Schizosaccharomyces pombe: one gene and its partners. Changing the gene in region 1 together with any one later gene gives a genetic interaction. Each region holds a gene or a part of one and is shown in the gene's direction. Other genes may lie near its edges. The genes, in order: cdt2, suc22, rad1 and pxd1.

Region 1 (8,003 bases):
TAACCCAACAAATTCTCGACTTGGTACAACAGGCCTCTCATTACAAGCAGCTTCGCAAAGGTGCAAATGAGGCTACCAAAACCTTGAACCGTGGTATTAGTGAATTTATAGTAATGGCGGCTGATACCGAGCCCATAGAGATTTTATTGCATCTGCCATTGCTTTGTGAGGACAAGAATGTGCCTTATGTTTTTGTTCCTAGCAAGGCTGCTTTGGGACGTGCTTGTGGTGTAAGTAGACCGGTGATTTCAGCCAGCATTACTACCAATGAGGCTAGTGATTTACTTCCTCAAATTCAAGCTATTAAATTGGCAATAGAGAAATTGCTCATCTAAACTTTTGGATTTTGGGAACAGTTTTCTTTTAATCGAGAATAAAATTTGATTCTTATGGAAGCAGATTGTTATCGAATTTTTTATTTTGTTATTGTAATTTTGTACTGTTTCGCTTTCTATATAATTTCAAGTACTCTGTTTGTAGTCATTTTAATTTTTATTAATTAGCTCGCAAAATACTCAACAAGAAAGATAGTTGAGTGTTTACATATAAGAGCATTACGATTTTAATAAAGATAGTGTATATTTGGTGTTTGATATATATATTTTTTAATATATTTTTCGTGTATGATTCGAAAAGTATCTTCACTAAGCTTGCTTCCAACTTGATTCTGAAATTTTTTCTCTCTAAAGCGTTACAGCTTGTCCACTAAAATAAAAAAAGATATTTGTATTCATTAATAAACTTTACTGTTATCCCATGAGTATCTATTAAAACAAATCCAAATTTATCTAAATTGCGATACGAGCTAGGCTCGCTATTTTCCTTTATTACTTGCTTCTCGTTTGTGTTTACTATCCAAGCGCAATATGCCTACTAAGACTAAGAAAAGGTCCGTTCTTGAGGCTGAACGGAAAAAGATTGGGTAAAAAATTTCTATAGCAAGATGTTTTTACTAACATTTGGTTAATAGACTCGATCATGCTCCCAAGGAGGATGAAAGTGTAGATGACAACTTCCCAAAGCAATTCAAGCGATTGCTACAGCAAAAAGAGTACCATGAATCTAAAAAGAAGGAAATAAAGAAAGGCAACCTTAAAAATAAGAAAAAAAAAGATTATGGGAAAATTCAAAGATTACCCGGTGAACGCCTTAGTGAATTTAGTCAGCGCGTAAATAAGGCTATTCCAGTATCTTTTAAGTCTGGGCCGAGCAAAATAGACGAATTTACTGATAAAAAAGAAAAGAAAAAAATAGCGAAAAGAAAAGAGAAGCGTGAAAGAGACTGGAATGAAATTGAGGAAAATTTTGAAGATAAAACATGGGAGGCGGATACTACTGGGTATGTGTATATCACCAATTTCATTTCGTATAAACTAACATATTAGACAATTTATCCAAATTGAGTCTAGAAAAAAACGAAAAAATTCGCCTGATCCGTGGGCTAATTTACAAACAAAACCTTCCTTTGGAGAAACTGTGCAAGCTCCTCCTGAACTTCCGGAATTAAAAATTAAAGAGACAAAGTACTTGGAAAATGTTCCCAAAGTTAATAATATGGGTCAAACAGAATCTATGGCACGACGCCAAGCTCTAGGAAAGCAGCGTTTGGAACTTATAGAGAAATATAGAGAATTAATGAAAACCAAGCGGAAATAATCTTTTTAATAATGAAAAAAGAATTTATTTCTAATGCTGACTTAAAAATAATTAATTACTTTAAATATACAGCAGGCATTAAATCTAAATTTAATTAATTCAAAAACTCATCCACAATAGCAGATAATTTCGGTCCATAGTGCCCTCTTAGTTCACAAAACTGTTGTGAAAATTCTGGTGTTATCGTATTTGACAATGAAACAACTATTAATAATTTACTAGTCAAATCGCAACATACATGTTCCAATAGCCTTCTATTAAGTGGATTTTTGTCCAAAGAAATTTGTGTATGTGGAGAACTTGCTTGAGTCAAACGCTTGAAGGGGAATTGACCAACTTTGGCATATGTGTATAACCATCCCTCAAGTATTTTTAAAAGAGCATCTAAAAATTGAGGTTTTAAAAAGTTATGCTCCTCAGATACACGATTGTCATCGTTGTAATGTGATGCTTTAACACCTTCTTTCATTATCACTGTTTCCAGAAAAGTTCGGGCTGCCTGGTCAAGTTAGTTTCTTAAATCAAATAATAAGTTGATTTTGTATACCTGAAGTTGCAAAATTTTAGAGCTGTCATTATTCATAATATTAATCAAACAATTAAAAACTTTAGTCTCATCATCCTTCTTTTTTTCCTCATCAGCAGGGTTATCCTTCCTTAGAAAGAACCAAAACAATAGACTCTGTAAAGTATTAATTGCAGAAAACTTCAATGTATCTTCATAGCTATTAGGAACCCGCGAAAGAAGCGAAACAAGCCTTTCATATATTATGTCAAACTCAGGATAGTCAGAAAAATCTTTGAGAGAGGTACATCCCTCGATTCTTGTTAAACAAGCTTCAAAAATAACAAATTCATCTTTTGTTATTACAGCATCTTGAATATTAAAAGATCCAAAATTCTTTAAAAATTCGGTTACCGTCTGGTCGCAAATGTCAGTAACCAGAAGCTTCAAATCTTCTTTCAAAGCAGGAATAGAGTCCAACCGTAAAAATAATATCGTGCAACCTTGAATAATTTGAAGATCATTATTGGTTAGGAAAAATTTTTTTAAATTATTAATTAGAAGTTCAAAATGTCTGGAAAGTTGAGGGTCTGTCATTTCTGTCAAATCCATTGAGAATAACAAACGAAGAGAATCATGAAGAAGTGTTGGTGAAGCAGAATTTCTCTCAGTTATTGAATTAATGTAAGGAAGAAGATTCAAATAAAGTAAGTCCTTATCTTTATTTTGATCGTTGGTCGTTTCCGCCGCTTGCTTATTATGCACCGTTTTAGGTGTGATAAAATTGTTATTACAGACAGTTTGGATTGAAGCAGAGAGAAGCTGTAAAAGAATAGATTCCTGAAAATCATTTAGCTTGCAGAAAGAAAGTATACTGTCTATCGGATCTTTTAGAGTCGAGGTATAATTATCAAAAAGTACGAAGTTGCTAATATCCTCCCATGACTGATAGATTGAATCAATTTCACATGCATTAAGTAAAGCTTGTGTTATAGGAGTAATGAAATTACCATTTTTTTGGAAGATTCGTAATAATGTATCATAATCAAAGCTCGATTGGTAAGACAATCTAACCTCCTCCAAAAGTTTACACATTTGGGAAAATTTTATCCAATGAACTGAAAATGTAGTAAGTGAAGTCTGAGAAAAGGCCTTTAGAATATAGTCTTCTTCACCCCATAAATCAATTTTTTCATTCACACTTTCGTCAACCACTTTGCATAAAAACAGTACGGCTTCACGTTGCACCCTTGGATTGATATCTAAAATTAGCTTCAGCACTTTTAAAATTTCAGAATTTTCTAAAAATCCGCAAGTCCTCATAGCGTTACACAAACGAATGCTGGCTACACGAACTCCAATATCGGCGTCCACACAACTCATCTCGAGTATTCTTTCTTTAAATCTAGAAGAAAAATGTCTTAATCCACCAATAAATGAATCTGTCTCAAAAAATTTGCGCAAAACTTTAACTACAGTTAATCTGACGGTAGTGTTTATGTCTGAAAGCATCCATCCTAGGTATCTTAAATAACTTCCTGAAAAAAATATGCTTGGAACAGTATTAATCCAGACCCCAAGCTCTTGTAAGCAATCTACCCTTATTTTAGGCTCCACGTCTCGATATCGATGGACGAAGACACTAATATAAAGGTTAGTATAAATAAATTAAAGCGTTTGAGGGATCTTTACCTATCAAAGTAGTCATTTAAGTATGTAGTCAATGTATCTTGTTGCTTGACTATTTCACCAAGACTGTTATTAAGTTCGTTGATGCGATTTCTATTTACACGAGAGCGCTTTTCTTCTTTCTCGAGCTGTTTGGTAGCAATTGCATGCTCGTTCAATAGTTCTTTAGATTTTTCACATAAAAAAGTCATAATATTCAAACAGAAAACAGTGGCGGTGTGCCGAATAGGTCTCATCGTAGAAGAAGACATGGCAACGACCCAAGACATAATATCTTCAAAAACAGTGCTATTGTACAAGTAATTTCTTATTGACAACTGTGACACAAAGTTGCTTAAAAGACCGGTCAATCTCTTTCTGAAATTCCTAAACTTAAGATTTTTTGAATTTAAAGGATAATCACGAGTAGAAGTCTTAAAGTTGTTAATATACAAATAAAGTATTTTCGCAAAAGCACTTACACGCTCTACAGAAAGTTGAATTTGAGATAGAGTAGCTGAAGCAGAATCTTGATCCTGAACATCAAACACATTAATGGCACGATTGCAACCACAGCACTAAAATATTTAGTAAAGAAAGAAAAGAATGACTCTACCTTTAAAATAAAGTTAATAAGATTTGCAAGGGCAGATTGATTATCTTTTGCATAGTCAGCAAACCACGAAACCGCGATGTCCATGGTATCAACTTTTTGGTCAAGCAGAAAAGCTTTTCAGTGTTAGTAGCTGAAAAAAAGAAGGACTTTATCATTACCAAATAAGTTGTTAAAAATTTCTTCTTGAGGATCCTCTTCAACTATAGCGTTCCTCCTAGAGCGTTTTACATTTACTCCTTTAGAATTTGGCCGTGGATGCCGTTTTTTTGAGCTTATCGTTTTCTCGTAATCATCATCGCTATTTTCTTCAGAAGATGAATTTGAACTACTGCTCATGGGATCAAAACTTTGAGAAAGCATTACAGGGGAAGATTCTCTGTCTCCTCCATCATCATCAGATCCAGTAGTAACAGACTCACTCATTTGAAGAAAAAAAGAAATAATTTATAAATAAATTAAGAGGTGTAATTAGAAATATTGGAAAGAGTGTAATGAATGCACTATTGGTGTTGTACAATGGAGGTTGTTCACAACCTGTAGTTGATAAAAGCACGAACTTGTCTTGTTCAATAGTGTTAGACAGGATAAATGTGTTTGAAAATCCAAGGATACGAAAGGAAATTTATACTTAACGAAGTTATTACATTAAAATTTTCTTTACCTTGATTGAAACAAATATATACTATTTTCTTTTGGGTCCTGCAAGGTGAACAGCTAACTTATATTCACTCCGCGAGTTGAGATTGTAATTTGACTATACAAGTATAGAATTGTGAGTGAAAGATTCTTTTGACGCGTAATATTTTCGATTATTATTAATAAATGAGATATTTGACAACTTTTCGAGCGCTCATTATATCATAGGCAGAAATACGAAAGTCATCCTTTATGAAAAATTAACAAGTAATTAGAAAACTTTTATCCTTTTTATTTATTCCTCAAGAATTTTAGGCTGTACCCATCTGTAATTGCAAATATGCTTAAACATGACTTTGAAATACGCGTTTTGTTACTTTAACATATTCTGGGTAACGTTTGGTGCATGTGATGGATCACGGACGCGTCGCGTTCACGCGTCACGAAAATCTAATATACTCACGCTACCATCCACTACTTAAATTAAACTGGAACACACGACCTCAAAAGCGGATTAAATTAAGATTCATGATTATACCATGAATATGGACATTGGAAAAGCTTTGAGTGATGTTGGTGGGCTTCGAGATATTACCTCACGTGCAAATAACTCATTACCTCCGACTCCTGATTCTTCTCCCGCAGCACCTTCCAAAAAACATAAGCTTTACGACTTCCTAGAAAGCCGAGGAAAAATTGAAACACCTCGAAAACGCATTGTGTTTGAAAAGAAACCCCTGTTACACAAGCCAGTTCATATTCAAAAAAAACCTGCTCAACTTTGTAAAGAACTTTTAATCAGACAACTGGGAGGTTCCCGGTCGCACCCTTTTAGCACAAAAACTTCTCGTCATGTGGGAGGTAGACTCAATCTCGAAACATATTACTCACGACCTTCGGAATGCTTAATGATGCTGAACCAACTCCCGTTCTGTCTTGGATTTGCTAATAACGAGTCTTTATTGGCCGTATGTACTGAGACTGGAGCTCTTGAGCTGTTTGATTCTCGATTTTACGATAGACAGAATGAGGAAAATCAGCCGTCTGCTCGAAGAATCCATGGCTGGCTTGCTCACAACAATGCTATATTTAGTGTTAATTTCTCTAAAGATGATTCATTATTAGCTACTTCATCTGGCGATCAAACATCAAAGGTATTTGATTTGTCAACGCAACAATGCATCACTCGATTGGGACGACGAGGTGTCGATGGATACCACTCTCATTCAGTAAAGCAGGTTAATTTTTGCAATGATTCTCCTTATAATTTGGTAAGTTGTTCTCGGGATGGTTCCATTATCTTTTGGGATATGCGAACACACGGGATAACAATTGACGGTGAGCATTTTCAGAAACCAGTGTTAAGGATAAGAAAAGCACATGAAAATTCGGGAAGGGATTGCTCAATTACCTCAGCTACGTGGCTCCCTCAATCTACTTCGCAAGTTATATCGTCCTGCTCTGCAAACTCGGCCTTAAAGTTATGGGATTTACGAACTGTACATACCGTCCGACCTTTACCTGCTGCTACTACTCCCGAATTAACTACTTCAAAACGCGATTTTGGTGTTACTAATGTTTGTACTTCTCCTGACGGTGAGCGTATTTATGCTGCTTCCAGAGATAGTATCATTTATGAATATTCATCTCGTCACTTAAACTCCGGATTTTGCAAGACTTACAAAGACCCTAGACTCAGAATTTCTTCATTCTACGTAAAGTTGGCGTGCAGTCCTGACGGAGCAACTTTAGCCTGCGGTGGAGGCGTTCAAGACAAGACTAGTGGTGTTGTTGTTTTTGACACAACAAGAAACTGTTCATCGTCTGCTATGCTCACAGGTGGTCATACTAAGGATGTTACTGCAGTTGATTGGTCTAGTGAAGGTCAATTGGCAAGTATTTCAGACGATGGGAGCGTTCGCGTATGGAATTCTTCTCTGCATGGAAGTGCGGCTAACCTTAGAGAAAAGAATTTTTCGGAGATTTTTTATTGGGGATTTAGTGAAAAATGAAAATTATCACGCATAGCAATGTCTCAATATTCGGCTTGTTTCTCTTGAAAAGAAGACTATAAGTGAGGCTTCATAATATTTTGTCAAAAATAACGACTATTCCCTAATGCATTTGAATATTATTAGGATTCTTTCTTTTTCCATATCTATTTAATCCTTTGATTTGTCATTTTTTTGCTTCCGCTGGATGCTTTATAAGCTTTTTCTGTTTACCAAAGCTTAATGCATAAAATTAGTTTGCAATTTTTTTTTGTTGACAATTATTTTTTTTTTTGGAAGCAATCAAAATACCAGTCAATATATGCAATCCAAATTAGATGTTTTTTCCTCACCGTTAATCGAACTCCTATTCCTAAACAAACGTTCAGTTTAATAGTTTTTTATATACTAATAATGATTATTCAACACTTAAAAGAAATCCATTATTTAATCAGCGCTAGCGCTAAATTATTACTAGCAAGCAACTATTTACTAGAACTTCTTATTTCTCATAATATACAATTTAGCCCTATACGTTCATTTTTTATAATTATGGTCTAAGGATATTTTACGAAGTTGCAAACAATAATAACTAATTCTATACAAAATAGATGTGGCTAGCTATTTCAGCTTTTATTTTACTCATTTTATACTTATACACTTTATTTGGCAATTTGTTGTAACAATTAAAATAAACGCAAACTACAGATCATAAGTTGTCGAAATGATTTTGGTGCACTTCAATTGGCCTCGAACATTTTAATTTTTATGGATTATGGTATATTAAATTTATAAAACTAAGACATGCCACGAGCCTTGTTCCTAAAAATGCTCATTGACGTTACTAATATACTCGACTCTGTTCATTTAAACACCACGATTAACGTATTTTTAACAAAGGTAATAACACTTTTATCATATTAACGCACTT
Region 2 (7,932 bases), on another chromosome or scaffold:
CTTTTTCTTTTAATAAAGAAATTGAAGAAGATGGGTCAAACAGAATCATAAATTGATTATCTTGTTCACCATCTTTGATTATATGAAGCCTTAATGTAGTTCTCATTTCGAATATTCAGCAAATTTCTTTATTTGATTCTTACGGAGAAGTGGATCCGGCAAACTAGTTATAATGGAATTAATCAGTATTAAAAAGACGTTAAAACAAAGTAAGTTATTTAAAATGGAATGCCCATTTCTTGACACCAATGGGTATCCAAAGTTGGTTGCTCTAAGGAAGTGCGTAAAGTTCTATTCGCAATTTACTCGGCATGACAGCAGGAAGGGTGGGACAGCAGTGATGAACAAGTTAAAGGTGTAAAATAATGCTAAATGTCAAGAAATAAAAACTCATTACTCATTCCTACGACTCGAGCATATTGACACGTATCTTAAGGTTTTATGGTCCTTCCAAATCTAACGAAACATATTGGCTTAATATATCTTCCTTTCAATTGCGTGAATTAACATTTGAATACAAGTAAATAAACTATCATAGATTAAAAGAACGACAGATGTATTAGTCAGAATTAAAGAATATTCAACAGAAAAGTAGTTTGACGTCTCAGAATAATTTCTATAGGTTGTAAATTAGCTTAAAGCAATTAATTGGCAGAAAAATTAAATGATAGGAGTTATCTATTAGTAAATTGTTAATTCTCCATATGTAAATCCGGATCGAGGAACATTATTGTTTGACCATTGTTTGTAGTTAAAAGAACACCAAGGTCTGTATATTCCTGTATTGTATTTATTAAATGATCTTCAGTAAAACCCTTAGCAAGTACGCGTTCACGAATAGCACGTAGTGTAAGTGAGCGTTCATTGCCTTCAACATCTGGTATGCTATTAAGCATGTCTCGAATAATTTTATATATTTTCGAGGTAATAGTAGTATCGTGAGAACTAGGATCCAAATCATCGTATAGTGATGACTTTGAAACAGACATTAATCTCAAAGCTTCATCAACATCGCCAATCTCCACTCTATTACTGAAACGCAAACGAGCTAATGCTTGTCCCATTCGCAAAATAGCGAGAAGTGTACGTGGAGTAGTGTGAGCGAATTGACGCTCATTGGCTTCATCACGCTTTTGGTTTTGTCGAAGTTGAACATAAGCACCAGTAACATAGTCGCATACATCCTTTGGTACGACTGGGCGATATTGTCTAGCAGAAGAAATATAATGCCTAATCATGTTTGGATCTAATGGTTCAAAGTCCATTTTAGGTTGTTCGTTATGCATGTGAACATATGTTACGTGTTGTGCCAAATGCTCGTCTGTTTCACGAGAAGGAGTATCTAAAATTAAAAATAAAATATCAAACCGGGAAAGCAGTGCAGCTGGAAGATTTATATTGTGGATTGGTGCCACTTTCGGATTATATCGTCCATATAAGGGGTTCGCAGCGGCCAAAATACTTGTTCGAGCATTTAAAGTCGTAGTGATTCCTGCCTTTGAAATTGAAATAGTTTGCTGTTCCATTACTTCATGAATTGCTGTACGGTCACTTTCATCCATCTTATCAAATTCGTCAATGCAGCAAATACCGTTGTCAGCAAGTACTAAGGCACCTCCCTCTAAAACCATTTCATCCGTCACTGGATCACGCATTACAGCAGCAGTTAAACCAACACCTGAAGATCCACGACCTGTGGTGTATACTCCTCTCGGGGCAACCTTCGAAATATACTTTAATAATTGAGATTTTGCGACACCAGGATCACCAGTTAAACAAATATTTATGTCACCACGAATTCTCATTCCATCCCCTAACTCTTTAGTAACACCTCCGACAAGCAACAGAAGTAAAGCTTTTTTAACATCTTCATGTCCATATATCTCGGGAGCAATGGACTTGGCCAGTTTTTCGTACACATTGCCTCCTTGATTTAATTCAGCGATAGCAGCCTCCGATTGAGGAGTTTTTTCAATATTTGTGTAATTTTTAATGATTTGTGAAACATAATGGCATTCTAAGTAAGTATCGGTTAAGAGCCCGGCGCGCATTGCTCGAAAACCAGTATACGGAGTCGGCAAAAATATACCAGAAATATCAACGATATCGCCAGGATTTACAGAGCGAGTGATAGCACCATATAAGTGGACGGTTAATGATCTAGGGATATGGCCAATAGGTACTTGGTTCGTTAATTCTTGTATTTTTACTTCCTGAAAAGGAAGAAATTTACTGGCTCTTGTGCTCATGAAAAGCTGACCTTTTGCATCATTCTTTTTACATTCATCCGAAGGACATTCAGACATTGGAAGGAATGTCTTCTGACGGATTTCTTGAAACACTTCATACCCACATCGATCACATGTATAAGCATTTACAGTTAAGCTAGGCTTAACATCACTTGTACGAGTAACTATACCACGGACAGTCAAAAGAGATCCCAAGTTTTCGCCTCTTAAATCACGAACGCTGAATGGTTTTTTGTTGCGAGTTACTGGTCGAAAGTATAAGTCATAACCTCGGGTTAATTCAGGAGGAAATCCTTTATGCTCAGGGTCTATATTTTCATTCCTTTGAACACGTTGCTGCATAATTACATCAAGTACTTCGTTGCGATAATTAATTTCCACAGTAGGAGGAGGCATCAACGCATCTGCGCACTGCGAAAAAAGTTCAACAAACCGTTTAGCATTAGATTCAATATTATGCAAAAGCTGAGTATCACTTGGATCGAACTCGTACAAATCATTCAAATCAACATTAATAACATTTGACTCTCGATTGGAGATTTTTTGTAGTATATCCATATACTTTGATTTTAAAAAAGGCTCATCACCTGCATCCGACATCGAAATATCCTGATTTTGTTGTCCATCTTGAACCTGTTCCTGCTTGAAGTGGGATAGAAAATCCGTAATTTTATGTTGACATTCTTCATACTCTGGGATTTTTAAATCTATGGTGGGAAGTGCCATGCTTTTCAAACCAAAAAAGTATCCCAAAACTTTTCTGCTGAATTAGCAAAAAATATAAAGGTTCAAAAAGAAAGCAAGGGTATTAAGTAAGGGTAAGATACCAAGAAAGGTTCTTCTTTAGGTTGTTTTAGTTAGTTGGTAGTATGAATCAACGCGAACTCGTAAGGTAACAAAAATGTAAATATTGTAACTTAGGGCATATACAAATTGTCATTGACTCTAAAGAAATTGCAGTGTATAATTTTTTTGATTCTCTACATATTTCCTTTTTAATTTATTACTCTCGCAGCAAAAGTAAACATTCAGTTTGATTTTAAAAGCCACTATGTAGTACTGTTAGAAATTTTTTTTGGAGAGTATTCACTATGTATAAATAAACAGTTTATTTGTTTTAAATTAATAATAATCATTTTGCCAGACAATAAATTGGTCATTTTATTTTCATAAATGTATGTCTAATTGTTTTCATTGCTTCAATCGATTGTTATTTTAGCTATCCATAATTTTTCCTATTTTTCTTCTACACGTTTTGTATTTCTAAACATGAGAGTTATTTAGACTACTGCCTAAAATTTATTTCACTTTTATTTTTAAAAATTTTTTTGAAAACTTATGAAGTAAGTTAGCAGGGAAATTCTCAAAAGAAATGCGATATCAACAATATAAAAACTTCGAGTAGGGAACTTTTTATTTTTTGTTCGGTTATTTCAAACATCAGTGAAGAATGAATATAGAAAATTCTTTATTGTTTTATACCACATTGTAAACTGTACCTAAAAGCACAACACGCAATAGAAACGTGCTATTGGAATGCTTATTTATTTTCTGTTTACAATAGACGAATATAAGTATTTCTTTTTTTTTTTACGAAAGGATCAAGGTATTAAAATTATTCACAGTATGTGGCTAGGTCTCTGTCGCGCTTATCTTTTTTTAATTAAGCAATGTCTTTATGTACGGTCGCGTCGCATTAGAAGTTTCGTGATTTGTAATATTTGAGCAGTTATAAAGCGCTCTACATCTCGGATGAAAAGGAGATTGTGAAGAGATATTTATTTCTAACATCATATCGTACTACTAGGCTGATATCATTGCGTTTCATCTACAACATAAATTGAGGTACCCTGACGCGTCTTAAGTATTACACTGAAAACTACTTTATTAAATTATAACAAAAAGTGAGAAATTTAATAATTTATTTATTACATAAAGTAATAAATTCATTTCTATTTTTTCAATTATTTGAGCCTAAATAATTGAATTTATTCGACTCCACGCTTAGCATCGAATTCTTCGATTTAAGCTATCACATTTTTCTATTAACTAGCTACAATTTCCTGCTTTAAGAAACCGTTATTATAACACACCAGAAGGGAAAGGAAGTAAGCCCTTGCTTTTCCCATTTAATTTGAGATTGTCTTCGAATTTATTTCATTTTTTTTACTCGTTGCGTTTGTCTCCAAATATTAATTAGTACATTGTTTTTTTTCAACGTTATTCATCTCCATCAGCCTTTGACTTAGTTTAACTGCAATTTTCCACTCTGTAAAATAAGGCAGCATTTTGTCTATTTTGCCTTCACTCTTATTCATTGTGTTATCATACCCAAAGTGCGACAAATTAACATCCACAAAAAAAACGGTGGTGTTGAATATACTACAATACTGTGCACTACATTGGATAACCTACCTTTGAAAGTTTTGCCATTAACCACAACACATCTTGGGAAGCCACATCGCAAGAGATAATCGCGGTGGAAGAAAACTTTTGTACTTATTCTATATACAGATAAATCCGGTCAGTTTGGACGAAATCTCATTATTAATCTTACAAAATGGGCCTTGAGCATCTCGAAGAATTCAGTTATCCTAAGGAACATGGTGAAGAAGTCGAGTATGATAGCGAACAAGGTGTTCGTAAAATTTATGTTAAATCTATTAAAGAAACCTTTAACTTTGATAATGTAAGTGAAGAAGAGAAACAGGAAGGAGGCGACTACTACTTGGGCAAAAAGGAAGATGAGCTTGATGAAGTTGTGCTTCGCCCTAATCCTCACCGCTTTGTTTTGTTTCCAATTAAGTATCACGAAATTTGGCAATTCTACAAGAAGGCTGAAGCATCTTTTTGGACTGCTGAGGAAATTGATCTTTCGAAAGACTTGGTTGATTGGGATAACAAGTTAAATGCTGATGAACGTTACTTTATTTCCACTGTACTCGCCTATTTCGCTGCGTCAGATGGTATTGTTAATGAGAATCTTCTCGAGCGTTTCAGCTCTGAAGTTCAGATCCCTGAAGCTCGTTGTGTTTATGGTTTCCAAATTATGATTGAAAATATTCACTCTGAGACCTACTCACTTTTGCTTGATACATACATTCGTGAACCTAAGGAAAAACAGCGTCATTTCGATGCTATTTTAACAATGGGTTCTATTAAGGCCAAAGCCAAGTGGGCTCTTCGTTGGATTAATGATGAAGATTCCACCTATGCAATTCGTTTGGTTGCCTTTGCTGCTGTAGAAGGTATCTTCTTTTCTGGATCGTTTGCCTCTATTTTTTGGCTTAAGAAACGTGGACTTATGCCTGGTCTTACTTTTTCCAATGAATTGATTTGTCGTGATGAGGGTCTTCACACCGACTTTGCCTGTTTGATGTTTAGTCATTTGAAGCACAGACCAGGCCGCAAGGTTGTTGAAGCCATTATTGTTGAAGCTGTTGATATTGAGAAAGAATACTTCACGGACGCTCTTCCCGTTAGTCTGCTTGGTATGAATAAGGATTTGATGTGTCAGTATATTGAATTTGTTGCTGATCGTTTGTTGGTTGCTTTGGGCAATGACAAGTACTATAACGTAACCAATCCTTTCGATTTCATGGAGAATATCTCTTTAGCAGGAAAAACAAATTTCTTTGAAAAGAAAGTTTCTGACTACCAAATTGCTGGCGTTATGTCGGGTACCAAGCGCGCTGAGAAGGATGATCATACATTTACAATCGATGAGGACTTTTAGATGACTAGTTATTTTTGGTTTTTAGATAAGTTAAAGCAAAAAAAAAATATTATTGATTACTGATAACCTATTTAGCAATAATAAATTAATATGTTTAATTAGATTTTCGTTACTCTATACTTTACAAATCTAAATGGCTACTTCAGTGAATGTAATGACGAAGTTCTAATTTCTGAAGTATTTCTATTCAAGTTCTTTTCTCTTTTTCATTAATTTACTACGTCTAAGAAAAGTTATTTTCCAGTCATAGACTAAAAGACCATTTACTTATTATCCTTATTGTCAATTACCTAAACCTACAAGATTACATGTATTATACAATACTTTGTAATTCGATTTATGGTTGACTTATCACATCTCGTATTTTTTTAATGAATTACTGCAAATTTACTCTCAAAAATAATCAATACTTTCTTTTTTTTTAACGATTATTTTTCTTTAATTCGTATTAAATGTATGAAGCCAATATGCTAAGATTAAGTCAAAGGATCTCAAATGCTGTGAATCACTTCTCAACCGCCATGATGTCGGGGGCTTCTGCAAGTTTGACCGAGGGTAGTGCAATTATACCATTTTCAAATCCGAATGAAGTCTTTTATAACCCCGTACAACAATTTAATAGAGATTTAAGCGTTACAGCTATTCGTGCTTGGTCGGAAACTAGATCCAAAAAAATTGTTGCAAAATCTCATCACCGGCATCAGCTTCTCGATCAAAACTCCGAACTTAGCCAAGAAAATCTTACTAAATGTGATACAACTCATGATTTTGAAAAAAACTGTTCGGAAAAGACAGATTCTACTTCAGCTGATAATATTGCTGGATTTACCATTTTAGAAGCACTTTCCGCTACTGGATTGCGTTCCATTCGGTATGCTAAGGAGTTGCCAAATGTCAAAAGGATACTTGCAAATGATTTATTAGAAAATGCTGTGAAAACCATCGAGAAGAATGTTAATTACAATAATGTGAGCGATATAGTAATTCCTAATAAAGGAGACGCTAATGCTGTTATGCATATGAACAAATTTCATTACGATGTGATTGACCTTGATCCTTATGGATCTGCTGCCCCGTTTCTGGATGCTGCTGTACAATCCGTTTCAAAGGACGGTCTTCTATGCATCACATGTACTGATTCAGCTGTTCTAGCCGGTAATGCATATCCAGAGAAATGCTTTTCTAATTATGGTGGGTCCTCTTTGCGCTCTAATTTTTGTCATGAGCAGGCTGTTCGTCATTTGCTTTATGCTATTGCAGCTTCTGCTGCAAAATATGGTCGCGCTATCAAGCCGCTACTTTCCCTAAGTATTGATTTTTACTTTCGCGTATTTGTTCAAATTAAAGCAAAGCCTGTTCTCGTAAAAAATTTACAAAGTCAATCGCTATTGATATACCATTGTTCAGGCTGCGGTAGCTTTGCCGAGCAACCACTTGGAAAAACTTCTCCGGGAAGACTACCTGGAACCACCAAATTCTCTAATGCTTCGGGGCCTCCTGTATCTGCTAACTGTGAACATTGTGGATATGTGCATCATGTTGGAGGCCCTTTATGGGGTGGACCCCTACATGATGCAGAATTTCTCAAAAAAATGCGCGCCATTGCAGAAGATTTAGACCCTGAAGTCTATGGCACTAAACGAAGAATCTTAGGTATGCTCGCTTTGGCTGATGAAGAACTACCAGATGTTCCATTTTATTTTGTTTTATCCCAAATTTGTAGCGTCTTGCGCTCCCAATCTCCTCCTCAAAATATATTTGTTTCAGCTTTGTTAAACGCTGGATATCGGGTTTCTGGTTCTCATGCCAAGAGTAATGCAATTAAAACAAATGCTCCCTGGTCCTTCGTTTGGGATGTTTTGCGCTCTTGGATTAAAGATCATCCAGTGAAGCTTGAAAATATTAGTAAAACATCTGCTGGAGCAGCGATTTTGGAAAAAACTCCCA
Region 3 (7,857 bases), 2.9 Mb from region 1:
CACACTTAGCCGATTAATCATTTACATTTATTATCATCGAAACGTCTATTCCGAAGTTTTATTGATTATAACATATACATTTCACCTTTTAATTTTTTACACGAATATCTTTTGTGCCTTCCAAATATGCTGGCATATCAAGAACTGCTAGTGTTTAATTTTTAGTTTTTTTGTTTAAAAATATATATAATTCTATAATACCAAACACTCTTTATGTTCCATAATAACAAATGTACAACTCATTAAATTGAAAATATGTTATCAGAACAAGTCATGATTTTATTACACAGATGCTTGCATAGATCCAAGTAAAACAGTAACCATAGGTTTTTCGTCAATTCTGTAGTAAGAGTCGTTGGCCTCCACCTCTTCGGACTCCACCGTCGGTTCTTCAAGGTTTTCATGATAATTTTTTAGAGCATCAGTCAACTCATCAATTGGAATGGATGCTTCGGAAAACAGCATCTTAATTTTTTTCAATGTCACTGTATTTTCAACGCATAACCACGAAAGGATAAGAACTGTAGATTGGAAAGGAAACAGTCCATGATCAATTTGTTGGAGAAACCATTTGGTACTCTTTTCCTCCGAATCAGGACTAAAATCAAGTTTTCTGCTTTGGTCAATACCTTTGAGTTGGATTCTCAAGCGATCGTAAATTTTGAAAAGGCGTTTCATTTTTTCAAAGTCATTTTCAATGAATTTCCGTAAAAAGCGCACCCTTTCTACGGTGTCAGCAGGTAAAGATCGAAATAAAGATGCCAGAATAGCTAATATATGTTCCAGAGTATCGGCTGCAGATATTTTCATAAACGCAGCAAAAATATATTTCAAACCGCCTGCTTCTACAAATCGAATACAATAAGGAGTGGAAAGAGGCCCAAATAAAAGATAGTCCAAAACTTTGATTGTAGAATAACGGCTTTTTCCTTTATGTTTCATATTTAGTATGCATAATTCAATACCTTCCTCTTTTAGAAAAAGGGATTTTCCTTTCGTTTCTTGAACCAGACTACATAAGCAATCAAACACGTTTTCCATCATTTCTTCTTCTGATCCTTGGGTTGGATCACGAAGCCTATAAGGACTGATCCGGCGCAACAAAAGATCAATCCCATTCAAGTTGCACACTTTCAATTTAGCTTCTTTTGAATTAGCGAGAATGATAGCTAAAATTTCAACAGCGTACTGCAAATTAGTTGATATAGAAGTTTCATCAACAGACGATCTACTCAGTAACCATTCTACCAATGTTGTGTTTTCAACTATTATTGAACAAATGCTATTGTCCACAGATAATAAATTCTCCATAAGAGAGAGCACACAATATACTCCATGTCGGTCTTCCTCATTAGATTCGTCAAACCTTTTGATTGTATTTGAAAGCAAAGGAAGCAAACCAGAATCTATAAGGGAAGTAAATAAGGAGTTTAATGCGTCTGGGTCAACATCCTCGTCAGTCAGTTCTATCAATAGCTCCAATACCGTAATAGTAATATCCGCATTTTCATGGTTCATTAATTCTAAAAACGTGGAAACACAATCTAATTTAAGGAAAATGGGTATGAGGATAGGATACTCTGAAAGCACATTGAAGCTTCGAATTTCCAGATCAAGATCTGCCTCTGATTCTATAAACCTTTGAGGAGAAGTAGAATACTTGATGCGTAACTCCTGATTATTATTAATTGTTTTTTCAAGTCGTACTACCATGCGCTTCAATTCAGTAGGAGTCAATGAAGCAGGTTCTTCCTGGGCTTCCTGTTCGTCTAAAAAGTCTAAAACGGTTTTTTCACTCTTTTTAAGCCCACTTCCAAAAAATCTACCTCCTTCCTCGTCAAATTCTTCATTCTCCTCATCGCTATTCTCTTCAGCGAGTCTTCTGCGACTACTAGCTGGCTCCAAAGAGTCTGCTTCCTCAGGGTTCCTTTTCTTATTTGTTTCCTCGGTATTTTTAAAAATTGAATCTACATCCATTTAGAATAATGTATTTTTTATGCGCCAGTTTCCTTTTCAAATTGAATATATGAAAACCGTCTGATACAAAATAAATAATTTTGACAAACTTATATTTTATAGCCGCATCAAGTAAAATAAAAGCCTTATGAAAAGACTATCGTGCAATTCAATTATAACGCCTGACTCGTTCCTAAAATTCCTCTCGTTTACCAGTTCAAGTAAAAGCTAGGTAAGATGTAGGCATGTACAAAGTGTATCAAAAGTGAAAACCAGAATCTAAGCTTGGAAAAAAATAATAACAGCAAGTAAATTCCCCTCTGTTTTATAAATATTATACAACTCTTATATCCAAGAAAGGAGAGATTGGAAGAAGGATAAAAAGTGTTTATTTAAGAGAAGAGAAGCTAAATAAAGTGCATGCAGTTAACTCGAAATTTTTTAGGTTGATTAAATAAGGAAGAAATTAGATCCATCTTGTATTACCTTTCTTTTAATTGTAGCAATGACTTTTCAAAAGAGGGTGTAAAAATGACATCCTAACTGTATATATGATAAAATTACAATTATGGATTTTCTAAAGCAATTTAAATTTAGCTATTATCACTAAAACAGTTCGGCAATTTGCAATATTTGTCTAATAAATGAACCATTTGTTTCATAAACAATCAAATTCATTAAGCTACAAATCCTTAATTGTATCTTTAGTTTTGAGTCAATCAACTTACTGGGATCCTATAGCTTTTTTGAATATCATTTGGTAAATTCAAATATGGCTCTTAAAACTTGTATTTAATTTGATAAAATTTCTGTGTCGAGAGATAAATAAATAAAGACAGTTAGAAGTAGATGCTATTCAATTAATAAATAAAATACTCGTCTATTAAGCTTTACGGCTTTCCAAAAATTTATATATCAGAATAAAATATTTCACAATTTTTTTTTTTTTAAAAAAGAAAAAGCAATCTCAATTTTCATTTCCTTTAGTAATCTGCATACCTTTTAAAATTGTGCACCTTTTCGAATTTTACTAAATAACTTCTAACTTGAACTGTCTTTCTTATTCTGCGTTTGGTCTTGTAATCAAGTGTCAAGTCCTTTAATATCAGAAGGAAAAATTATCAATTTATAAGATTAGCATTTACGGGTGTTCAAGTTGTAGCATATAACCAATTTTTTATTGTTGGACGTAAATTCGCATGTTTCAAGCAGAAACAGTATGCTTAAAGCAGATTCAGTCAACATTACGATGCATTGATTTTTCAAAGGAATGTACTATCGAAATCACAAGTCGTGGACTACGGTTTGCAGTGGAGGAATCGCAGTCTTTGCAGGGTAAGACAAGTCGAGTCTCACATCTATGATCGTTAAAAAATTTGAAGCTACTTAATAAAGTTTCATATATTAATGCGATTCTTGAAATGCATTCACTTTTTCTTTATTGTTCACTCACACATTAAGCTCACGCCTTTCTTGATAAGTCGTTGTTTCAAACGTTTAATTTTCAGGGTGATTCAGATGGGGATACATATATGTTCCAGACGATGATTTCACCTCTTTTACAATCATTATCAATTTATACAGATGGAAAAGAACGGATTTCAACTAGTGCCTGGGATCAACCCACTGTAAACATAATGCACAAACGAGGCGTTATCTGCAAAGTACAGTATAATGGACCCGGCTGTCCATTTATATGGGAGTAAGGATTTTATCATTAACATTCTGTACTGACAAAAATAAAGAGTAGAGGAAATGGCTGGTTATGCTACGGCTTGTGAACTGTTGACTATGGAATGTGAGGACGACGTTGACATCAATAGACTTGCAAGCACATTGTGCACGAAGATCATTATGAAAAGTAACTGGCTATATGATGCCTTGGTGGAATTAGACAATAACATGGGCGAAAATTTAATTATTCATACATCATCCCAAAAATCAACCTTCTTATTGAGATGTGTAGGGGCATTATCCACTACGGAAATAGAATATCCAAACGAGAAAAGTGTTTTAGAGTCTTTTGAAACTGATTCTGAAAACACTTATTCCTACCGCTTCTCATTAATAAGACATGCGCTGAAAGCATTACAAGTGGGTTCTAAAGTAAACCTACGTATTGATGAAAATGGAACTTTGAGCATTCAAATCATGCTTGTCGGTCAAGAAGGGCTTTGTACGTTTGTAGACTTTTGTATTGTTCCTTTGGACCTTGTAAGTGAAGATGAGGAGGAGGATGAAGAAGAAGAACCAGCAGAATCTAATCAGTCGGACAATAACGTTTTACGAAACGATCCGAATTATCGAGGAGATGCGGAGACCGAGGATGAGGATAGCTAAATGATAATTTTAGCACTCAGCACTTTAGTGTTTCCGATAACTTCAAAAAAAGAAAAAGGTACAATTGATACTGAACAACTTATGATAATACACTTATTCAACGAATCATGATTTATTTCCCTGCTTTTTGTTTGGTCTTATTTAGGTAGCTTAAAGTCACACCGTTTCCTCACTTTTTCTATGCTTATTTAACACACGTATAAACAAGACGCTTTCCACTAGGCTGTCTAGCAAAGCATGTAGCCAACAAAATTCCCATGTATCATACACACGATTATACATTATGGTTAGATCTACGAAGCATTCAAAAATTCTTCAAACATTATTGATTTTTAAAAAATAGAAAATGCAAAGTGACACTCATAAAACATTTGTTTACTCAAAATGGAGTCTCATCTCCTCTTGCATTCCATTTTTGGACGTTGTTGAGTCTCTGATCACAAATTCTCGCACTTTCCAACTTTATCTTGATAATTCTCATATCCTCACCCTCCACGTATTGTTTCGTATTACCCTTGTCATTAGTGTTTAAATGCTTTTCTCTAAAGAATTCCTCTTCTTTGCTATTCTTTGGAAGAACGGTAGCAAGGCCATTCAAGGTCACTGATGTATTCGAGAACTGAGCCTGATTCATTTTATAAAGTAAGGTGTACAATGAGGAGGCATCAGGATCTGTTTCTTGACGATTAGTGGTCCAGTCATGAACTAGTAATGATACTCGAGGATTCTAGTCATCATGTTAGAAAAAAGAAAATACCAATCAGGATCAAGGATAAGTTAAACTTTTAAATATGATACATACCGAACTGATGTTAAAATATTTTTTACTGTTTTCTCCTGTTGACAAAATAATGCAATCCTCCACTTCGTAAGGGGCAGCGCTTCCTGCAGGTAAATAGGTAAATGTCATCAAAGAAGAGTGAGGCTGATCATGAAAGCAAGTAGCTAGTTGAATATATTTGGATGAGGACAAGCATCTCTTGATTTGGCTGGGGAACTCATGAGATGAATCGACTTTTGAGGCCATATTTACTTTCAGGTTATTGTGGTGCGACAAAGATTATAATTTGCAGAATAAATACTGGTGAATGGAAACTATTGATCCAGACAAAACTGTACGATAATTTCTATACTTGATTATCCTTTCCTAAATTTTGGTGGTACTCCTCTCTGAGTAAGCAGGTTTGATACTAGGTTAATAGCAGAAATGCTGACTCACAACTCAACGTAATATAGAGGTATGTACTAAACAGCCAACTTACGAATTTTGCAGGGGAACTAAAGATTAATAATCTTCAAAGGAATACTGCTCATAAAATAAACGCGCTCATTTCTGTGTATCTTGGAAAATTCATACGCATTATGATTGTTGGATTTACTTACTCAAAACTAATTTCCTTAACTTATAAACACTAATTTTAGTATACGGATTTTTTTTATTTCGTAAATTAAATTAATGTAAAAATGAAATACATTAAGTCATAACAGCACGAAGAAGCTGTATTTTAGTCGTAACAAGGTTTTGGAAAACCCTTAGAAAGAGTAAAAGTGGCTATAACAACTGATAACTAAATTTACCAATGATCGATCTTCATCGTTCCTTTTTCTAAAAGGTTGAGCTGCATCTTGAAAGCATTGGCAAGAATATGGGGTTCATGACCAGCTCCTCTAGCTAAACAGTAGTTTTCGGCAATATCGAAATACTCTCTGAGCAGAGGCTTATAGTCAGGATGAGCACACTTGTCAATAACCTCACGAGCACGTTCGGTAGGAGACAAGCCTCGTAAATCAGCCAATCCTTGCTCTGTAACCAAAATATCCAAATCATGTTCGGTTTGGTCAACATGGGTAGCCATAGGAACAATACAAGTGATACCAGTAGGATCCTTCTTCGAAGGACGAACCGATGGTGTATGCATAATACTTAATTTCGCATTACGCAAGAAATCAGCAGAACCACCTAAACCGTTCAACATTCTGCTTCCCAAAACATTTGTACTATTGGCATGAGCGTAAATATCGGCTTCCACAGGAGTATTCATAGCGATGCAACCAAGACGGCGGATAATTTCAGGGTGATTGGAAATTACTTGAGGGCGTAACAAAATTCTTTCCTTGTAGTAATCATAGTTTGAGTAGAATTTTTCAAATCCCTGAGGAGAAAAACGGGTTGAGGTAGCAGTAGCAAAACGTAACTTTTCAGAGTCAAAGAGAGGCAAGAAAGTATCTTGTAAGACTTCTGTCCACACTTCGAGATCTTTAAAGGGAGAATGGGCAAGACCACCGATAATAGCGTTGGCAATGTTTCCAATACCGGATTGCAAAGGATGAAGATTTTTGGGAAGACGCCCTACAGATACTTCATGATGGAAAAAGTCAACTAAATGGCCTGCAATAGCCTGCGAAGTCTCATCTTGCGGAGAGTTAGCGCATGTGATGTCTCCATAATCAGCCTCCACTATTCCAATAACCTTTTTGGGATCCACTTTGATGTATGGCTTTCCAATACGATCGTCAACTCGATTGATGTTTATTGGAGTACGATGTGGGGGGTTGGGAATTTCGACAATGTCATGAAGTCCTTCAAAAGAAGGAATGGCAGTGTTCACCTCGATGATAATCTTTTCCGCAAGTTGCATAAGTTCCGGACTCGCACCAACTGATGCGCCGGGAACAATTCCGCCGTCCTCGGTAATGGCTGTGGCCTCAATAATGGCTGTGTCAATTGTATTACTTTCACGATTACGAGTATAGTAGCCATAAAGTAAATCTTGGGGAAACATGGATAAATGCTTGTCGAAAAACTGAATTCTGCCAGAGTTAATTCCTTTAGAAATTGGCTTTCCTACTTGATGAGGACACCGGCGCTCAATCATATTCAATTCAGCCCACTTGCATTCCGTATCAGCACCTCCCGAGGCACCAACGAACAATTTAAAACGCAATTTTCCTTGCAAATTGTTCTCTTCGACATGTCTTGCTAACGCGTTTGGAATCATTTTAGGATAACCGACACCAGTAAAACCAGACCAACCAACATAGTCCCCATTTTTAAAGTACGGAACCAACTTGGCAGGATCCGTAACAATTTTTTTGGCAAATTCGGCATTGCGAATGCGTGAACTCAGAAGAGACGGCATTGTATCAACAAAAAGAAGAGAAGAGGAAGGAAATATTAAAACGTTGAACTAGTAAAAGTCAAATTCAAAAGCGATAAAACAAGAAAAAAAAGAAAAGAAAAAGAAATCTTTCAATGAAGAATCTGGGCGACAGATAAATAATCAGAATATGCTCAAAAACGCTTTTTTGGGCTTAAAAGATAATTTTAATTTGTTGAATGTACACTCTTTTTTACTTTTAAATAAGAAAATGAATCAACCAAAAGTGGTTGTTCTTGTGACAAATATGTAACTGCTCAGTAACAGATTTACAAACCCAAGGATCACAGATATCGGTAAGATATGGAATGATGATTGCAAAAAAAAAGCCGGAATGATGAATGTATGCGCGACTTGATTTTAGCAAAGTAGACCAAAATTGTGACGAAAAAAAGAGACAGAA
Region 4 (7,852 bases), on another chromosome or scaffold:
GTTGGAATCGACTTTTGCAGTTTCACCTTCAACTTGATTCGCCTTGCCAACAATCCGAACCGTTTTTCCAGAGCATTCTGGTAGCATATCTTTCGTAACTCGAGGTGTAGGGCGTTCCATATTATTTTATACGCGTTGTTTATAAAGTGGTGGAAGTGAAGTATGTATCAGACCAGGTAGTTAACTACTTGTTGACACGAATTATTTAAAATATTGGAACGCAGTACGTTATGTATTATATGTTGGAAGGCGCTGGGATGTAAATAAAAAAGCAAAAGCGTAAATATAAACGCTGGGGGCTAACGTTGATACATTACTGTTCTATTTTTTATAAGAATTATTCATAAAAAAATCTCCTTGTATCCTTCTGCGTTAATTTCACTACTTATTAATTGGTTGAAATGTTGTAAATAAACGGGTTAAAGACCAATATAAATACGTCTTACATATAGTGATTTAAATAACATTATGGAAAGATTTCATGGTATTTTATACTATTTTTGAAATCGTCGGCGACTCTTAATTTTCTCTCTTTTCCAATACCACTATTAGTAAATTGCTTAGGCGTAGACCAGAAGCTTCAATAATTAAAAGTAAATGTAATTGATGGAAAGCAGCCTTCTTTTAATGATATAATTTTTCAATTAGTTTTACCTTGAGGTTGTGATTTCATGTATTTCACTTTGAAGTCGCCCATCCCCTCGACCATTCAATTCAAAAAAAAAAAAATCAAAAAACTCCATACTCATATTGAAATCTTTCTTCTGTTACATTAGTTATTAAACCACTCTTCATTTACATTTGCAGAGCTTGTTACCTTAATACTTGCTAGTACCTAAAAGTGCTCTGGTTCAGCTCTCTAGTCGAATTTACCATCAACACTATTTTTGGTGTTACTAATTATAGGGTTTTTGCCCATGAACTATAGGCAATTGTTTCTTCTTCAAAATGTTAATTTAGAGTCTAATTATTTATTAAAACGTGTATGCCTGTCTTTAAAATTGTCTCCTTGTAAACTTACAAGGAAATTTCATCATGCTTGCCCTTCCAGTTCAAAAGTTTTGAAATATTTCCGCATAACTGGATGCCTAATAAATTTCGGGAAACAACCAGCAAACGATCATCATCTTTGGGGACATTGTGGTGCGCGTTTGAAGCATACTCAATCAGATCTTATTGATCGATTTAAAAATGCTAATTTGAAATCCGTGAATGAGGAAAACCTTAAAAAATTTTTCTCTGAATTAGAAAATCATGGAAACATTAGACAGTGGTTGAAAGACAAGTTCGAGAAGGACAAACGCGCTGCTGTTTGTCCTACTACTACAAAATCTGAGGAAGAGAAGTTGGAAAATGATTTTGAGTATTCTTTTGATTTAGAAGATTTCAGCAGTGAGAATTTTAGACAGTACGATCGTGGAGATTTGCTAGTGTTTTATAGGGGCTCCGAAGGCATTGAACTTGCTGCATGCACTGGTACTAATGTTTGGAACTATAGTAATGTATTGACCAGCATTAACGAAAACGGTACTATTAAGGAATTTCGTACATCTAGAGTTTTACTGAGATGTCCTAATGTCTTTAAAAAGCTGAAAGAGGTGCAGCAACCTCTTTCTGATGTTTCTGTTCCTTCTGATGTCCTACCTTTCACTATAAAGTTATTAAAAAAAATCTCTCAAAGAGCACAAGATTTAAGTCGAAGTCACCGAAATGAATTTTTGCGAATATTGACAGAATTCAATATTCCAAATAAACTTGACAATTCAGCTTCTTTTTCAGACCTTTTGAAATTTGTGTACAAAACTTCGAAGCCTAGCCCATATGCTAAAATCTCATTGTTACACTTTTTGCTTACAGAAAGCAAACATTTTTTAATAAGCGATCACATATTTTCCGAAATTCAAAAAGTCTATTTCCTTCCCTCTTCACAAAATGATTCTTTTGACGACGTTGTTGCATGCCTGCGTCAGAAATCAACACCATATCTTTCGTTTATAAAGAAAGCTCGTCATTTAATTCAAGTTTCCCGAGATAAATATAAGTTACCTATAAGCACCGAAGAAATAAAACCCGTAGTTTATTCACAGGTCACTTGGACTGAATTTGAAAAAAAACTATTGCGGTATCTTGTTCAGGAAATGATTGCAAAAAGTATTCAAAGTTTACCAAATACACACTTGTGTCAGGTTTACAAAGAAGTTGGCCTTCAAACTCACGAGAGGGGATTAACTAGTGATCAGTTTGCTAAATTCTTAACGGATATTGGCGTGTGGGCTTCATGGCAGCCCCCGAGGTTGTTTCAACAGGAATACAGCATTGCTGGCCTTGGTACTAATCCTCAGTTAGATGCTGTGTATGAACGTGAGTGTAATCACTTTAAAAAGTTTGTAAAAAATGAATTAAAAGATTCACTTGAATCGCAACGCGTCGATTTAAGGCATCTTAAAGCGTTCGCCTTTGATAGTTCTTCTACGAAAGAGATAGATGATGCGATTTCGGTTGAAGAATTAGGGATGTCTAATTCCTGGCTTCATATCCATGTTGCTAATCCTACGAGTACAGTTGACATTCGCAGTCCTTTAGGCACGTTTGCTGAAAGGAACTTTCAAACTATTTATCATCCCAACAAAATTGTGTATATGCTACCTCTCAATATCACTCAGAAATATTGGAGTTTAGATTCATCTTCTACAGCTCAAAGAGCATTAACTTTTAGTGCTAAAATTTCAAAAAATGGCGATATACTTGATTACAAGGTTCGGCCTAGCTTCATTTCCTCAGTTATCAAATACACACCCCAACAACTGGATAAAGCTTTGCATAGTAATCGATCAATTGCGAAAGACATCGTTTCTGGACCAGTGGATGAGGAAACAAAAGGAGTATCAAATGATCACATGAAAGATATATTAAGAATATATGAACTTTCGAAACAAGCCTGTTTTTCTAGGTTACAAAAGTTTGCGTTTGTTATTGCACAACCCACTCCGACAGTTGAATTGCTGCCTAATAATGTCCCTTATAATCTTGGTGATCTGAATCATCCAGTATACTGGTCTTCCTTCCCTACAATTAGTTTGAACGTTAGTGAAGGGTATAGCTTGGCAGAATCAGTAATATCAGAGTGCATGATATTGGCTGGCCGGGTTTCATCATTATTTTTTCAAGAACATAAATTACCTGGGATTTTTAGGGGCCAGCCTTATCCAATTATGGATGGTGTACGAAGAAAAGCGTTTGAAACTTTGTTAAGTAACAGGTCATCTTGGGGACTCGTTGAAACTAAGTATTCACTTTCTGTAATGCCTTTATTTGAAAGTTCACATTTAGCCTCCACACCTGTTTCCCACTTTTCTTTGGGGCTAAAGGATGGCTATATTCAGTCTACCTCTCCTTTACGCCGGTTTACCGACTTCTTCACTCATCATCAGATTCAGTCGGTATTATTAAAGACTCCAAAAAATACTATACCTGATGGTATTCTTCGTGGAAAACTAAATTTGTACAACCAAAAAGAAAAATCAATTAAAACTATAGGAAGATACATTAATCGTTTCTGGGCCTTAAAATATATAGAGAGACTTCCAAAGGTACAAAAAAATATTTATCATGGATATTTAATGGTTTCAGAACTTTCAACACCTCAGGTCATGTTGGAAGAATTGGGTGTTAAAGCGCATATTGATATTCTCCCGGACGAAGCATTCCGGTTAGCAAATACTCGCCAGGCATTTACAATTAAGGATGTCTTTCCGGAGTCTAATATCCTATTAGTTGCTTTAGCGACCTAACAAACTTATTAAAACTATTTTTATGGATATAATTTTACTTAATTAAATACTCAATCCTGCATTTTATCAATTTACCGAGACTTAACGATATAAATAAATTATGTTTTGGGATTTGATAGTAACCTGTTTCGCCAAAACTCATCTCAAAAACCAACAGGTAGTTTTACTATGAAGTCTCTTTGTTAACCTTGACTCTTGTGATTAAAATATATTTTCTTTTTCTATTTTTTGTAAGACAAGAAGCAAATGTCTTTGGATGCTTATAAATCCATCGACGAAGTGTGCTGCGTTGTTTAAAATCTAAGTTAAGAAAAATGATTGAATCTAAAGGTGAAACAGCACCCTCTTTAAATTTAAACGACGTTAATGTTGAAGAAAATGATGCTGCGCAAAGTTTTGCAGAGAAGGTTCAGCGGTTTCGATACCAGATGAAAGTCCATGCAGCACCGCGACAGAAAACGCTGCATTCTTTCCTGAAAAAGGATAATGCTAATATTCATGACTTTACTAAAGTTGAGAAACCACACATTCGTTCTTCTAAATCGAAGGTTTCTTATAACAGTATTACATCAAGAGTTACCAAATATTTTGAAGAAAAAAATAATTCCGTTGATCAATTGCATTCAGAAAGCTTGACCCCATTAAGCTTTGGCCATACCATTCCCAAGAAAAAGCCGTTACTTATGACGGCTTCTGTTTCAGAAGATTCTAGAGTTCGTGTTAGTAAGAGACAATTTAAGTCCAAAGTTGTTCATCCAGAAATTGCTATTTCTATTGCTAAAAGGCATAAGCCAAAGTTTCCTCTGTCTGATGAACTCATGAATGTCGAACCTGGGTTCCACCACAGCAATATCGGTTGTCAAATTACGCCTTACTTATGGATATCATCATTTAGAACTAATGTCTATTACCTAATTGGAAATGAGGGTGACTTATTGTCCCAACAAGTACCTTCGATAAGTGGGGAGTTAAACATGTTGAGAGGAGTATGCACCCGTATCGATGATGATAATCGCTATGATATTGAACAAGCTGGTTCTTGTTTTGGTATGTCGGTATTTCCAACCTCTGATTCTGGAGAAGAGTCTTTTACCACCCTTGAGTCCGATCCGATAGTTAATTGCGAACACGATGAAAAGAAAGTTGCTGATAATCTCCTGGTTCCTCAAGTAATGTGTTCTTCTAATATTTCAACGTTCTTTCGAAGCCCTGGTGGAAAAAAGTTGTATCATTATTTATGGAAAAATTCAAATGCCCTACGTATTTCCTCAAACGACCTTCTCGAAATACTTTTAAAGCACGGTGTTTATGTATCTTTGGACACTCTGCACTCGTGGCTTCAGGAAAGAAACGTAAATTTTGAAAAGTGAAATATTTATGTTAGACTAAGTATAGCAAACTTTTGGCGAGCTGGTCCCGTAATGATGATTTAATGTACGTTATATATCTAACAAGTCAAGAATATTATTTCAATAATTTTAAATGTATATATTTATGTGATAAGTTAGAACTAAAAATAACGAGTAGATAGCTTGTCTTAATTTTGAAGGACCAAAGCAGAAGGGACTTTATGACTCGAGTTTTAAACGTCTTTGAGAACGTTACTGAGTTCTTCTTGTCTTATTTGTTTTTTTTTATATCTCAATAGCGCTGTATGGTTTATAATATATGCATATAAAGCGCTAATGTTAGGACCTTTTCTTGAGCAGATTTGTCTTTGGAAAATAACGAAATAGTATATTATTATGTTATTTATTTAACGAGCCGGAAATTTTTCATAAAATTTCACTAACGTGCTGCGTAGTTAATCTTTATTATCTAATACTAGGACAAGGAACGCGAGAGCATGTGTTTGTCATTAACTACACACACGAGAAATAGCAATTTATGTGTTTCGCGTCTCTGGCCTACTTATATCTTACAAAGCATTCATTTTTTGAAACCTTCTTTTCTTTCTAAATAACTGCATTTGTAATTGCTCAAATTACCAACCCTGAGCAGTTAAAGTCTTTTTCAAATTTCGTTTCATAGAGAATCAAAAGAATTCAAGGTTGGATCTATTTATATTAAAATTTATTAGAATGTTTGTGTTTGGATAATAATGAAGCCTCGCCCGTACTCTGTTTTCCTCTTTCTTCATATCGTTTTTTACAGCCTTCTTTCAGCAGTGAATGGATCCCCAAGTTTGGATTATTTTGAGACTTGTTCAAACTTTGTACCGAGAGCAGGTATTCCTACCTTTAGCCCATATGCAGTTATCAAGAATTTTGATGAAGTGAATCGGATGTACTACATTCAAGTAGTGGGGAATTTATCCGGAGTTATAACGATTGTGGGTGGAAATGGCTCACATATTCACGCTGCTTCAGTTTATTCGGAAACTTATGCGTTAGGAAAACTGGTCACATCCAATACCACAAAGCTTTGTGATGTTGTTATGGATCCTCATTCTTTTGAAGTCCCCATAAAATGTCCTTGGGCAGCTGGAAGTGCCGCTTTCATGGTTAAAGTTCCCTTTAAATCCACCTTGTCCGATTACTCAAAATACGAATTGACTACATTAACAACGCGAGTAATCGTTGTTGACGGTACTCCCGAGAAAAATGTAATAACTTGTATGAAGTTTGGTTTGTCCACAACTTTGTATTATTTTTATCCAGTTATTTCATATTTGGTTGTTGTGTCGCTCGCATATGTCTCGTTTTCCATTATTTATGCTCTTTTTTTAAATCCATGGACCGGCAGTTTAGATCCATTTAAGTCGATTTTTAATTTTAATATGGACCCTGATGCTCTTCGTTTAACATCCCTTGGATTTTTTGATTTTGTGCAATACTTGCAATTTGCTGTTTCTACAGCTCAGGTTAGTGTTATGTTTCCAAAATTTTACATAAATATTATGGCTGCTCTTTCTTGGGGCACTGCTCTATTTCGATTTCCCATTTTCTCCGAGCCTGCTGAATATCAATTTGCAGACTTTGCCGACTTGTCTGTAGCATCCTCTAGTTATGCGGATTATTTGCCTAAGTCATATGGCATGTATTCGTTTCTCGATTCTATAGGAATAGGTACTGCATGCTGGCTTCCGTTTCTTATAGTCATGGTTATTTACTTATTTGCTGCGTTATTTGTAGCATTGTTGGTTATTTTTTTGAAATGGCTTATGTCTAGAATTTTCAATGAAACTATTGCCGAAACTCGGTGGGATACTTGGAGCTTCATTGCTGGTTCTCTGATACGTCTTTACTTCTTGACATATTTCCCTACCGTCGCTTATATGTCATTCCAGTTTGTCGCACCGCCCACAGGTTATGAAATTATCCCCGTTTTGTGGTTTATCTTTTTTGGAATCTTTATTCCGGTGTATTTATATATGAATCTCGCTTTTGTTGAACCATCGTCCAAACTTCTTGAAGATCAAACATATTTGCATTTATTTGGCTCTATATACAATTCGTTTCGAGAAGAGAGAGTTATGTTTTGGATCTTTCCAATTGCCGTACAATTTATGCGTGGTATTACGGTTGGTGTCATAGGAAGTTCCGGCTCTGCACAATTAGCCATATTCTTTATACTTGAAGTTGCTAATGTCGTGGCGTATGCTTATGTGCGACCACATTTCCCGCAGACGAGTATGAATACGTTAAACACCTTCATCTCTACCATGCGCTTGATCACGGTTATTCTAATGATTCCCTTAGATCCTCGATTAAAGGTTCTTGGCATTAGTAGAGATTTACTGGCCTATGCAATTTTGTTTATTCACATAATGGTTTGTATCCTTTTCTTACTTCTGTCAACTCAACGATTTATGGAAGTCAGTGCACGGTTATTAGGTGCTAAAAGTGAGAGTAAAGGTGTCCCACTCGATCGACCATTTGGTTGGGCCAGGGTATTTGGTATTAATGAATTGAGACGCCGGCGTCTTAAGGATCCATATTCCAATGGCAACACAATGATGTTTGATCATTCTACCTACAACTCAAATGAAATGTCAGTGCCACTTACGCCAGTCTCCGTTTGTTCTAATTCCCTTAAGAAGGATGGCGAGGCTGCTCCGC

Evidence for each region.
Region 2: of cdt2 (region 1) and suc22, extra expression of one rescues a mutant of the other (dosage rescue), as found in Schizosaccharomyces pombe (one study listed by BioGRID).
Region 3: mutations in cdt2 (region 1) and rad1 are lethal when combined (synthetic lethality), as found in Schizosaccharomyces pombe (2 studies listed by BioGRID, with this or other methods).
Region 4: of cdt2 (region 1) and pxd1, changing one suppresses a phenotype caused by changing the other (phenotypic suppression), as found in Schizosaccharomyces pombe (one study listed by BioGRID).

What each region holds. Positions count from the first base shown.
Region 1 is NC_003424.3:2,033,268-2,041,270, reverse strand, and holds cdt2 (WD repeat protein Cdt2), read left to right. Parts: upstream 1-5,566; 5' UTR 5,567-5,620; coding exon 5,621-7,093; 3' UTR 7,094-7,315; downstream 7,316-8,003. Other genes in the region: U3 snoRNP-associated protein Snu13, read left to right, coding at 1-335; SPOM_SPAC607.02C (uncharacterized protein), read left to right, coding at 867-922, 971-1,339, 1,386-1,656; mitotic cohesin complex non-SMC subunit Psc3, read right to left, coding at 1,751-2,155, 2,204-3,803, 3,854-4,263, 4,312-4,407, 4,446-4,558, 4,604-4,868; SPOM_SPAC17H9.18C (uncharacterized protein), read left to right, coding at 7,316-7,633. UniProt on the Schizosaccharomyces pombe protein: Substrate-specific adapter of a DCX (DDB1-CUL4-X-box) E3 ubiquitin-protein ligase complex required for DNA replication during mitosis and meiosis.
Region 2 is NC_003423.3:3,716,946-3,724,877, forward strand, and holds suc22 (ribonucleotide reductase small subunit Suc22), read left to right. Parts: upstream 1-4,677; 5' UTR 4,678-4,809; coding exon 4,810-5,985; 3' UTR 5,986-6,127; downstream 6,128-7,932. Other genes in the region: nucleolar protein Dnt1, read right to left, coding at 1-106; MCM complex subunit Mcm7, read right to left, coding at 693-2,975; trm1 (mitochondrial tRNA (guanine-N2-)-methyltransferase Trm1.1), read left to right, coding at 6,438-7,932. UniProt on the Schizosaccharomyces pombe protein: Provides the precursors necessary for DNA synthesis. Catalyzes the biosynthesis of deoxyribonucleotides from the corresponding ribonucleotides.
Region 3 is NC_003424.3:4,975,464-4,983,320, forward strand, and holds rad1 (checkpoint clamp complex protein Rad1), read left to right. Parts: upstream 1-3,114; 5' UTR 3,115-3,155; coding exon 3,156-3,291; exon of another isoform or gene 3,292-3,417; coding exon 3,418-3,658; exon of another isoform or gene 3,659-3,701; coding exon 3,702-4,296; 3' UTR 4,297-4,675; downstream 4,676-7,857. Other genes in the region: SAGA complex histone acetyltransferase catalytic subunit Gcn5, read left to right, coding at 1-17; SPOM_SPAC1952.06C (uncharacterized protein), read right to left, coding at 283-1,977; SPOM_SPAC1952.08C (pyridoxamine 5'-phosphate oxidase), read right to left, coding at 4,676-5,023, 5,099-5,323; ach1 (acetyl-CoA hydrolase), read right to left, coding at 5,871-7,436. UniProt on the Schizosaccharomyces pombe protein: Recombinational reparation of DNA damages induced by UV and gamma radiation.
Region 4 is NC_003421.2:1,282,245-1,290,096, forward strand, and holds pxd1 (protein Pdx1), read left to right. Parts: upstream 1-3,921; 5' UTR 3,922-4,105; coding exon 4,106-5,161; 3' UTR 5,162-5,287; downstream 5,288-7,852. Other genes in the region: DNA replication factor A subunit Ssb3, read right to left, coding at 1-120; rpm1 (3' ssRNA-specific 3'-to-5' exonuclease), read left to right, coding at 918-3,791; trp1322 (TRP-like ion channel protein), read left to right, coding at 5,893-7,852.